Macaca fascicularis: one gene and its partners. The protein of the gene in region 1 binds, or shares a complex with, the protein of each later gene. Links are inferred from orthologs where the notes say so. Each region holds a gene or a part of one and is shown on either strand. Other genes may lie near its edges.

Evidence for each region.
Region 2: the proteins of DOCK5 (region 1) and RHOG are in contact, whole or in part, in a cryo-EM structure (PDB 8XM7), measured with the Homo sapiens proteins. The link is inferred for Macaca fascicularis from reciprocal best matches to the Homo sapiens genes DOCK5 and RHOG. Residues at the interface, in NP_079216.4 of Homo sapiens: Val232, Phe345, Asn393, His394, Lys395, Gly396, Trp400; in NP_001656.2 of Homo sapiens: Ala121, Pro123, Leu126, Arg127, Arg128, Lys130.
Region 3: the proteins of DOCK5 (region 1) and ELMO1 are in contact, whole or in part, in a cryo-EM structure (PDB 8JHK), measured with the Homo sapiens proteins. The link is inferred for Macaca fascicularis from reciprocal best matches to the Homo sapiens genes DOCK5 and ELMO1. Residues at the interface, in NP_079216.4 of Homo sapiens: Met1, Ala2, Arg3, Trp4, Val14, Ala15, Ile16, Tyr17, Asn18, Ser22, Gln23, Gln30, Ile31, Gly32, Asp33, Thr34, Glu39, Tyr41, Gly43, Trp44, Arg46, Tyr48, Lys56, Ile58, Pro60, Glu61, Thr62, Tyr63, His65, Leu66; in NP_001193409.1 of Homo sapiens: Ile7, Val8, Lys9, Ala11, Tyr18, Pro19, Leu21, Glu23, Glu36, Asp39, Gly40, Ser42, Asn71, Gly72, Gln392, Asp393, Leu400, Glu401, Lys468, Arg531, Glu535, Leu536, Lys539, Leu547, Gln550, Gln551, Asn554, Arg555, Asn582, Thr688.

Annotation. Positions count from the first base shown.
Region 1 is NC_088382.1:28,565,612-28,569,259, forward strand, and holds part of DOCK5 (dedicator of cytokinesis protein 5), read left to right. Parts: intron 1-517; coding exon 518-677; intron 678-1,608; coding exon 1,609-1,649; intron 1,650-2,547; coding exon 2,548-2,638; intron 2,639-3,648. UniProt on the Homo sapiens protein: Guanine nucleotide exchange factor (GEF) for Rho and Rac. GEF proteins activate small GTPases by exchanging bound GDP for free GTP. Along with DOCK1, mediates CRK/CRKL regulation of epithelial and endothelial cell spreading and migration on type IV collagen.
Region 2 is NC_088388.1:70,446,501-70,449,103, forward strand, and holds the end of RHOG (rho-related GTP-binding protein RhoG), read left to right. Parts: intron 1-779; 5' UTR 780-847; coding exon 848-1,423; 3' UTR 1,424-2,006; downstream 2,007-2,603.
Region 3 is NC_088377.1:92,864,066-92,868,451, forward strand, and holds the start of ELMO1 (engulfment and cell motility protein 1), read left to right. Parts: upstream 1-1,518; 5' UTR 1,519-1,817; exon of another isoform or gene 1,818-1,933; coding exon of another isoform or gene 1,934-2,002; intron 2,003-4,386. UniProt on the Homo sapiens protein: Involved in cytoskeletal rearrangements required for phagocytosis of apoptotic cells and cell motility. Acts in association with DOCK1 and CRK. Was initially proposed to be required in complex with DOCK1 to activate Rac Rho small GTPases.

The DNA of each region.
Region 1 (3,648 bases):
AGCCGCATTGCAGGAGGTGTACTAGGTTTCCAGGTTCCTCTAGGCTGGGCATCCATACGAGGCATTCCAGAATGTTCAGAGGATGCCCTGAGTGCCAGGCCTTAGGGAGAATAGAGACATAGGAAAAATGGTCTCATGCAACTAGATTACAGTCCTCACACAGCACAAACCTTTTGAGCAAGGGTTTGTTGACTGAATAAAACACAAACAAAAACAGACATTGAAAGAAGGACATTGCGGGCTGGGATTCTAAGTGATGGTAGGACTTGAGCTGAGTCCTAAAGAAAACTGGAACTTGAGTCCACAGAGAAGCGCAGCATAAATGAAGGTCACAGGATAGGAAGGTGTTGCATGAGGTGTGTGTGTCGGCTTAACTCTGTCACTTAATATCTAACACTGACATTCTGTGTCGTCAAATCCTATGCCAACCACTGCTGAGACCCTGGTCAGTGCCGGTCAGTGCTGCTGGAATGACAGCATGGAACCTGGGCTTTTGTCTCTCCCTCCGCCCCTCCAGGCTCCTAGAACATTGCCGGAAACACAAATACCTCTCCAGCTCTGGGGAGGTCTTTGCCCTCCTGGTCAGCAGCCTCTTAGAGAACCTGCTGGACTATAGAACCATCATCATGCACGATGAGAGCAAGGAGAACCGTATGAGCTGCACTGTGAATGTGCTGGTATGTGACATGCCCCTGGGGTGATGGGAGGGGACTCAGGCTGCCCCTGCACCCTACAGCTTAGCTCTAGGTGGATCCCACACACACAGAGGCACCCCGGGCACCTTTGTGGAGCTGGTGTCTTCCTGAGTCTAATTGGAATGGCTGGCTCAGCTCCCAGGTACCAGCAGCCACAGACCCTGAGGATAAATTTGGTGTGCTTTTGATTGTTTTAATTTTTGTTTCAGTAGGTTTTGGGGGTACAGGGGGTTTCTGGTTACATGGATAAGTTTCTGTTTGTGTGTTTGTTTGTTTGTTTGTTTTTGAGACGGAGTCTCGCTCTGTTGCCAGGCTGGAGTGCAGTGGTAGGATCTCGGCTCACTGGCAACCTCCGCCTCCCGGGTTCAAGCAATTCTCCTGACTCAGCCACCTGAGTCAGGAATTACAGGCTGGAATTACAAGCACGTGCCAGCATGCCCAGCTAATTTTTGCATTTTTAGTAGAGACGGGACTTTCACCATGTTGGCCGGGATGGTCTCAATCTCCTGACCTCGTGATCCACCCGCCTCAGCCTCCCAAAGTGTCAGGATTACAGGCATGAGCCACCGTGCCCGGCCAGAGAAGTTCTTTAGTGGTGATTTCTGAGATTTTAGAGCACCCGTCACCCGAGCACCGTACCCAAAATGTAGTCTTTTATCCCTCACCCACCTGTAACCTTCCCCGCTGAGTTCCCAAAGTCCTTTATATCATTCTTGTGCCTTTGCGTCCTGAGGATAAATATCGCCTTTTCTTATGGGGATATTTGTTAAAGGGAAACAGTGAACACTGTGGAAAAGTGAAACTGTTGAAAAGCAGCAACAGTGGTTTGGCTATTTTTGTGGTGAGCTTGTCAATAGCTCTTGATTTATATTGGGATTCGGTGATCCTTTTTTTTTTTTTTTTTTCCTGGCAGAACTTTTATAAAGAAAAGAAGAGAGAGGACATATACATAAGGTAAGCTGAAGGAAATTTCTTGCTTCTGCTATTTATTTCATGGCTTTGTGATTGATTTCTTCAGTAAACAAATACGATGCCCAACACCGTGTTTGCTGCTTTGAGAGACCCCTAAAAGTACATGATATGCTCCATTCACCCTGAACTGACAAACTCTTTAGACAGATACATGAATAAGTATGACAGGAAGGAGTGCCTACGTGAGGTCATGTCAGGGATCAGGGGAGGGATAGACAACTTCTATCCTGGGTGGGCAAGAGAGGCTGTATAGGGAGAGGCAGGAAAACCCATGCAAGAGTCTTAGCGAATCTCTGAACATGAAACAAACTTGTACATAACCAATATGCATGTTCTTGGGGAGAGATTCTATAGCTTTCATTAGCTTCCCAGAGGGGTCCAAGACCTAAAATTTAAAAACATTAAACAGCACTACCTTAAAGACGGAAGAGAAACTAGTCTAGATGGAGTCGGAGAAACACGGAGGCAGGAGGTGCGCAGTGTATTAAAGAAATGAGGAGGAACCGACTCCTTGGCTCAAGAGGAAGGAATAGCTTCTGTACAGTAGTGGGGAAGGGGGAGTCACGCAGGGAAGCAGGCTGGGGTCTGGTTATGGAATGATCTGAACACTATATCAACTTGAGCCTGGGCAGCATAGAAAAACCCTGTCTCTACAAAACACAATGAAAATTAGCCGGGCTTGGTGGCACATGCCAGCTACTCAGGAGGCTGAGGTGGGTGGATCACTTGAGCCCTGGAGCTCAAGGCTGCAGTGAGCCATGATCGGACCACTGCACACTCCAGCCTGGCCAACACAGCAAGACCCTGTCTCAAAACAAAACTTAAAAAACCTACAAAACTCTCGAGTGACAAGATGCTTCCTTTCTCCCCTTCTTGCCAGATATCTGTACAAGCTTCGAGATTTGCACCGAGACTGTGAGAACTACACAGAAGCTGCCTACACCCTTCTCTTGCACGCTGAGCTTCTGCAGGTGAATGGCTCAGAGAGCTTGTTTCAACAGGGTGGAGTATACCGTCCTTTCAGACTAAATTCTATACATTTTATGATTTTGATGGGAAAGAACCTTATTCCAGGGATGTCCTTTTATATAAGTTTTTAAAAATTCTTTCTAAATAGGCACAACTAATTTGTACATCAAGTATGGGAAAATGTCAGTTATCTTTTATTTAAAAGTCTTTAGAAAGCAGAGCATGACTTATGAACCTTTGGTAATTGACACTCTAATTAAAGCAATAAAACACACATTGATGAATACATTAAAAAAATTTTTAAAACTGCAGAAAACCACAGAAAGATGAGTTATAAGTGAATATAGTACCATAGAAGTACTCTGCTATTTTTATTCTCTCCGTAAATAAATGTATGTTGTGGCTTAGATATAAATACATCTATATGCTATGAGTCCCAAGTAATTATTTCTGGCCCTGAGCAGCTCCTCTAACTTTGGATTTACATACAAACTTTGATTGGCTAATACGCAGCTCAAACTGAACAAGGCAGTAACAGGAAGCTTTATTTCTCACTCTTTGCTCCTCCCCAACCCATCCTACCTCATTTTATTACCATGTTACTAATAACATTCCCATCCATTTAGTTACTCAGGCAACCTCATAGTCATCTTCGATTCTTCTCTTTTACTCACCACCTCCCATGTTCTCCACAAGCAAGAGATGTGGCCCCTCTGTTCAGAAAATGCCCCTAACCTATCCACTTTTCTTTTTATTTTTTCTTTCTTTTTTTTTTTTTTTTTTAAGAGATGAGATCTTGCTATGTTGCCCAGGCTGGTCTTGAACTCCTGGGCTCAAGCAATCCTCCCACTTCAGCCTCCCAGAGTACTAGGATTACAAGTGTGAGCCACCATGCTGGCCAATCCACTTTTCTTTATATCCCTGGCCAGCACCTTGGTCCATCCCATCAGCATGTCACACCTTGAGCACGACAGCAGCCTCCTGTTGGACATCAAGTATGGGAAAATGTCAG
Region 2 (2,603 bases), on another chromosome or scaffold:
GAGGATCTAGTGGATCCCTAAATTTGTGCACTCTCCTTTTGTGTCTGTATAGCCTGGAAAATAGCTAATACTGGCCAGGCGTGGTGGCTCATACCTGTAATCCCAGCACTTTGGGAGACCAAGGCAGGTGGATCACAAGGTCAGGAGATCAAGACCATCCTGGCTAACTCGGTAAAACCCCGTCTCTACTAAAAATACAAAAAATTAGCTGGGTGTGGTGGTGGGCGCCTGTAGTCCCAGCTACTCGAGAGGCTGAGGCAGAATGGCGTGAACCCAGGTGGCGGAGGTTGCAGTGAGCAGACATCACACCACTGCACTCCAGCCTGGGTGACAGAGCGAGACTCCGGCTAAAAAAAAAAAAGAAAAGCTAATACTTATGGATGAGGCACTGTTTTAAATGCTTTACGTGTATTATATAATCCTTATAATGACTCAATGAGGTAGATATTATTTTATCCTCATTTTACTGGTAAGAAAACTTAGGCATAGAGAGGTTAAGCAATTTGTTCAGGGTTACACAGCTAGGAAATGCAAAACCAAGATTTGACCTTAGTTTATCTGGCGCCAGAGCTTATGTGCTTTCTACCACATTATACTGCATCTTTGCTCGGTCTCAGGGCCTTTCATTGTGTATCTTTCTGATGACTGTCTTGGTGGGACTTTGGGATAGTGTCAGGTTAAGGGAACAGGAGCCGGTTTCCCTTTGTGTGCCCTTATCTTTTCTTCCCAGTAGGCAGAGGCCTCCCTAACCAAGAATGTCCCCTTTCATCCGTCCACAGGTCACTGCAGCCAGAGAGGTCCAGAAGAGAGAGGAGGCACTGCCTCCACTACAGCAACTGCACCCACGATGCAGAGCATCAAGTGCGTGGTGGTGGGTGATGGGGCTGTGGGCAAGACGTGCCTGCTCATCTGCTACACAACTAACGCTTTCCCCAAAGAGTACATCCCCACCGTGTTCGACAATTACAGCGCGCAGAGCGCAGTTGACGGGCGCACAGTGAACCTGAACCTGTGGGACACTGCGGGCCAGGAGGAGTATGACCGCCTCCGCACACTCTCCTACCCTCAGACCAACGTCTTTGTCATCTGTTTCTCCATTGCCAGTCCGCCTTCCTATGAGAACGTGCGACACAAGTGGCATCCAGAGGTGTGCCACCACTGCCCTGATGTGCCCATCCTGCTGGTGGGCACCAAGAAGGACCTGAGAGCCCAGCCTGACACTCTACGGCGCCTCAAGGAGCAGGGCCAGGCGCCCATCACACCGCAGCAGGGCCAGGCACTGGCCAAGCAGATCCACGCTGTGCGCTACCTCGAATGCTCAGCCCTGCAACAGGATGGTGTCAAGGAAGTGTTCGCCGAGGCTGTCCGGGCTGTGCTCAACCCCACTCCGATCAAGCGGGGACGGTCCTGCGTCCTCTTGTGACCCTGGCACTCGGCTTGGAGGCTGCCCCTGCCCTCCCCCACCAGTTGTGCCTTGGTGCCTTGTCCGCCCCAGCTGTGCCTTAAGGACTAATTCTGGCACCCCTTTCCAGGGGGCTCCCTGAATGCCTTTTTCTCTGAGTGCCTTTTTCTCCTTAAGGAGGCCTGCAGAGAAAGGGGCTTTGGGCTCTGCCCCGCTCTGCTTGGGAACACCGGGTATTCTCATGAGCTCATCCAAGCCAAGGTTGGACCCCTCCCCAAGAGGCCAACCAGTGCCCCCTCCCATTTTCCGCTACTGACCAGTTCATCTAGCTTTCCACACAGTTGTTGCTGCCTATTGTGGTGCCTCCTCAGGTTAGGGGCTCTCAGCCATCTCTAACCTCTGCCCTCGCTGTTCTTGGAATTGCACCCCCAAGATGCTCTCTCCCTTCTCCAGTGAGGGAGCCACAGAATCCTGAGAAGGTGAATGTGCCCTAACCTGCTCCTCTGTGCCCAGGCCTTACGCATTTGCTGACTGACTCAGCCCCCATGCTTCTGGGGGCCTTTCCTACCCCCATCAGCATCAATAAAACCTCCTGTCTCCAGTGGCCCCGGCTCCTCCCTGTGTGCTGGGCATTAGCGGGTGGGCATGGGCTAGGGCTCCCCAGAGACTGGGAGCCTTTTGTTTTTTCTAGTAGACAATAGGCTTCATTGTGGTCCCCTCACCCCCCAATTTCCCTAACAAAGCTCTAGGCTCCCTTGGAGGGGGCAGTCTTGCTCTGGGGCCCAGTCACAGATGCTATAGTGGACTCAGACACAAAACTTGAGGAAAGACTTCCTGATCTTAGGACTCAGAAAGGGAGAGGTTGAGAGCCATTAGCCTAAAGGCAGATGCTCTCACAGTCATGCATCTGAGAGCTGTACCTCACATCACCAAGAGGACAGTGCTTTAACAGGAGTTGGAGTTTGAACCCAGGTCTCTGCCTCAACTGAAGACTTCCAGGTGTCCTAGCTTGCAGTCCTAGAATCATTACAGATAGCTCAGTCACTCCTGCTCACCAAAACAGAGGCTTAGACCAGCCTTAGGAGACTCCAGACCTAAGGGGGATTGGGGGGATGCTGCTAGGAGTCATACCCTGCCATGGACTTACTCCCTCCCCACTCTTGAGCCTGTTTCTCTCCCAGTTCCTATCAAACAAGATGAG
Region 3 (4,386 bases), on another chromosome or scaffold:
TAATCCTCAAAACAGAGTGTTTAGGTAAAATTTGAGGGCTATCTTCAAAGATCTGAAAGACCTCTTCATGGAGGAAAAATGTGAAGACCAAAGGTTACAGGGGAGTGGATTTGCATAATTGCTGTGCAAGGAGGGAACAATTATGACAGCTAATGTTTACTGAGTGCTCACCACGCATGCACTAAAGTTAAGGTCTTTATATGCCTTAGCTACAAGGTTGTAGATCCAATTCATGCTCATCACTACAAGCATCTCAGAGCATTGTTAGTAAAGGCTCCATTTATTGACTACTTATTAAATTACCTCATTTAATAGTTGTGCTATTGATTTTTGTTATTGTATCATTACTGTTTTATAGATGAGGAAATACAGAAGTTAAGTTGCTTTCCTGCAGTCACCCTAGTTACTGGCTTTATAACCATGTGGACCCAGGCACTCTTGATACTAATACTGCCTCCCAGAGTCATGTGTGTAATAAGGAGTTAGATCAGAGCTGTTCATTAAAAATATAAGGTGAGCCACTAATGAGAGCCTATGTGTAGCCTTACATTTTCTAGTGGCCACATCAGAAAATGTAAAAAGAAACTGGTGAAATTAATTTTATGTATGCTTATATGTTAACCCAATACATGATGAACCCAATGGACTTATTACATCAAACTATTCTCATGTATTGCAATAATGTAATCAACATAAAAATACTTAACAAGTTAGTTTACATTCATTTTAAAAATATTAAATTGTATGTCTGTTTTACAGTTACAGAACATCTCAGGGCTAGCCACATTTCAAGTGCTCAACAGCTGCCTGTGGCTCTTGAGGGGGAGGATCTTAAAAGGGAGCTTAGTTTTCCACCTTGATTCTGATGCCTCCCAGCCCCCAACTTATTTCCTTTGCCAATTAGAAGAAAATGCCTAACTGCCTTTGACTTTTCCGGTAGAGCCAATGTAGGTATTGCTGAATTGGGGGAGGACAGGTGTTTCGCCTGCAACCCTCTTCCCTCCTGCCAGCTAGGCTGAGAGTTAACGTTTTTGATTTCTGTTTTGAAAATGATTTAAGTAGGTTGCAAGAATTAAGTAATTTATTCTAAATACCAAATTAGGGGTAGAACGTCTTGCCTTATGCAAAGTTATGCAAAATTAGGAAGTCCCTGGCTTAATTGGTTAGAAATACATCTTGTAGCTTCAATGGCAGGGTTAGTAAATACATAGATGTCGACTGAGAGGGAGGAAATGTTTTGTTATTTTTGCCACTCTGTCCAAGGGTAGAGGCACAGCGTCAAAACAAACACGTCTTAAAGTAGCGTTCAAATAGCCCACCGAAGTTTCCCCTTAATATCCGGAACCGGTTGCCAAAAATGAAAAAAAGATGTGAAAAGATTCTACTCGCTTTTGGCCTCCCGGAGGTGGCGCTATGAGGGTGACGGAGTTAATTAGTGCCTCCAAACGCCGTGTGTGAGCTCATCGAAGTCATGCTCTGCACACATATTATTTATAGCAGATTTGAGGCATGCATGGTGTTTGACATTTCTGTCTTTATAAGTAGGGGGACTTCAAAAAGTCGTGGGCATTCCCCTAGGCAAAGTGCCGTGGGCAGGGACCAGGGTGCGGGCGCAAGGCGAACGCGCAGACCACGAGTGTCCTGGCGCAGGTGCCAGGGGCGGCGGCTGCAACTCCGCAGCGTCCGCTCGGGAGGAGAGTTCGCGGCTGATCTCCGGATGCCTTGCAGATGCAAAATGTGTCTCTGGCCAGCAGGAGGAAGGAAGAGGAAGTGAGAGCAGCGGCAGCCGGCGGTGCAGCAGCCGGCCGACCCAGAGTGTAAGTGCGTGTGTTGGGGCGAGCGGGAGCGGGCGAGGATGGGCACAGGATAGAGGTAGAGCCACCCACGCCGCCGCGGCCCCACGCTGGGCGACAGAGCCTCCAGTTCCCCTTCAATGGTGGCAGGTCGCCGCAGCTCTGATCGCCGGGAACCCTTGCCGCTGCTGTCCTGCGACCCCAAGCAGGTTCGTAAAGTTTCCTGGGCTGGCGCCGCGCCCCGACTTCCTGACCTCGGCGCGGCAGGGGAGGGGGCCGGGACTGGGGCCGGGAGGAGCCGTACTGCTCCGGGGGACTCCGGGAGCCGCGGAGACACTTTTGTTTCCTCCCTGGGAGCGCCGCGGCTCCGGCGGGGGTGGCCGCCGCGCTCGGCAGGGTGAAAGCTGTGGGCGCGTCGGGGCGCTCTGCAATTGGGGAAGTCTGAGCTCGGGGGATGGCGGGAGTGGGAGTGGGAGAGGAGGGAGGGGGCGCTGGAGGTGCAGCGCCCGGGGATGAAGCGCAGGGCCCGGGGCCCGGGGCCCGGGAGCCCGCCGAGACGTTTCGACCAGGGTCTGCGGGAGGGGGGCGCCGGAGGGTTGCGACGCGGGCGCGAGGTTGTTGGGGAAGGGGGATGTGGGGCTGGGACCTTGGAGTCAAGATTTCCTATAGAGCCAGAGAAGCGGCTGGCGGCTCGGACTCTGCGTCTTCTCCTGCACTCAGGGATGGGAGGGAATCCCCCGGCGAGTGCGCTCGTGGGAGGAGGCGGTGATGGGCCAGAGGGATGGGGGCCAGGAGGGCCGGAGAGGGCGGTCTGGGCAGCCGGGAGCCCCGGAGGCTCTGGTTGTAAATACTCTCCTCCCAGGGACACACCGGGGTCTCCGCCGAGACCGGAAGAGGCGGCGGGGGGTTTTGTGGAGCTTCGTGGAAATCTCAGCTTCGGAGAGGGGATGCACCAGGCGCGCCTTCAGAGAAGGGGGCGGCGGCATGCCGGGGGCCCGGGAATCGGAGCGGAGAGTGGCAACCGCGATCGCCGGAGTCTCTTTGAGGAAGAGGAAATACAGAACTCAGCTGTCCCGGGGGTGCGCGCGTGTGTTTGGAATTGGGAAGTCGGTGCTGTGCCGCGAGCGCGCGCGAGGTGGCGTGTGTGTGTGTGTGTGTGTGTGTGTGTGTGTGTGTGTATGTGTGTGCGCGCGCGCGTGTGTGTGCGCGCATATGTATGTGTGTGTGGTGTGTCATCGGTGTGTGTAAGTGTGTGTGTGTGGGGGGGGTGGGTGTTGTCGGTGTGGGAGGGTGTTGTCGGTGTGTGTGTGTAAGTGTTACCGCACAGCCAGGAACTACCCGCCCAGTGACCCTCTCCAGCCTAGGGGGCGATTTGAAGTTGGAGGCGGGACGGGACCTGCCTTGACCCAAAGGACCAGACTCAGGCTTGGTCCCAGGTAGTGACCCAGCTCTGAGAGCCCCTGGACGGCCCCCGAGACCCAGTGAACGTATTTGGGATGCCCCTCGCGCTGGATCATGGGCTTCCCAGCTGCGTTGGCCGTGAATGATTCGGGCCTAATTCGTTATGGTTAAGATTTTAGATAACCTAACGCAGGGGATGGGGCCTCCAGAGGCGGAGGCTCCCTGTTGGGCGCGGCCGGTGCCTTGGGGATGAGGCTATGGAAGAATATCTGAGTGTTTCTTTTTTGCTTCTATAAAGGTAATTAATGACCTGTATTTACATACCAAAACCCTGCGACCAATTTTGGGACATAGAGGGATATAATCCTTCTCAGAATCACTTTGAGATTGCAAAGACTGGCAGCAGCTGTTATTGTTGTCTCCTCTGGCCCCATGTTATCTCTGGGTTCTCAGGTTCTCCTCTGGGTTCTCACATTATCTCACCTCCATGCCTACTTTCCAAGGTTGTTTCAAGGATTATTGTCCCCCGATTTATAGATCTGGGGGAAAATAATGGCAAGTTAGGAGGCCAGATCCCCTGCAGACACATCGCATACTTTTAATTTTTCTTATAGCTGACCTTTTGAAGCTTTACTCTTTACTGTTGTACATTTCCTATCTCTGGAAGGCTGTGGTTAAATGTGGATGCTGCCTTTTTTCTACTCTGTTTTGTTTGTTTTTATTAGGTTGGTAAATTGTGAGGAAATGACCTGGACTGCTGTGACTCTTGGGGAGGGGTTGTGTCAGGAGGGTACTGAACTGGAGAACAAGAAGTATGGTAGGTATCAGGGAGGGGCAGGCTGGGAGGCAGACCCGGCTGGGAGGCAGACCCAGATGGGAGTCTGGGGAAACTCAGGGCCTGGAGCAGTCATTGGGCAAGAAGATGGGCAGTTCTAGTGATGGCCATGCTTACTGTCCTTGGTAACTGCAGGCACCCTCACCGTCTCACATTCTTCTTTTTCACTGAGTTCTCTCCCTAGGGCCTTTGCCCATGAAATTACAGGAGGAGCTTTTCTCCCACATGTCCAGATGACTGACTTCCCCTGCTTCCTTCAGGTGTCTGCCCAGCTGTCAGCTTATAGGGGGCCTTCCCTGGCTACCCCATATAAAATAGCAGCCAGACATTCCCTGGGCCTCTTATGTTACTCAGTTT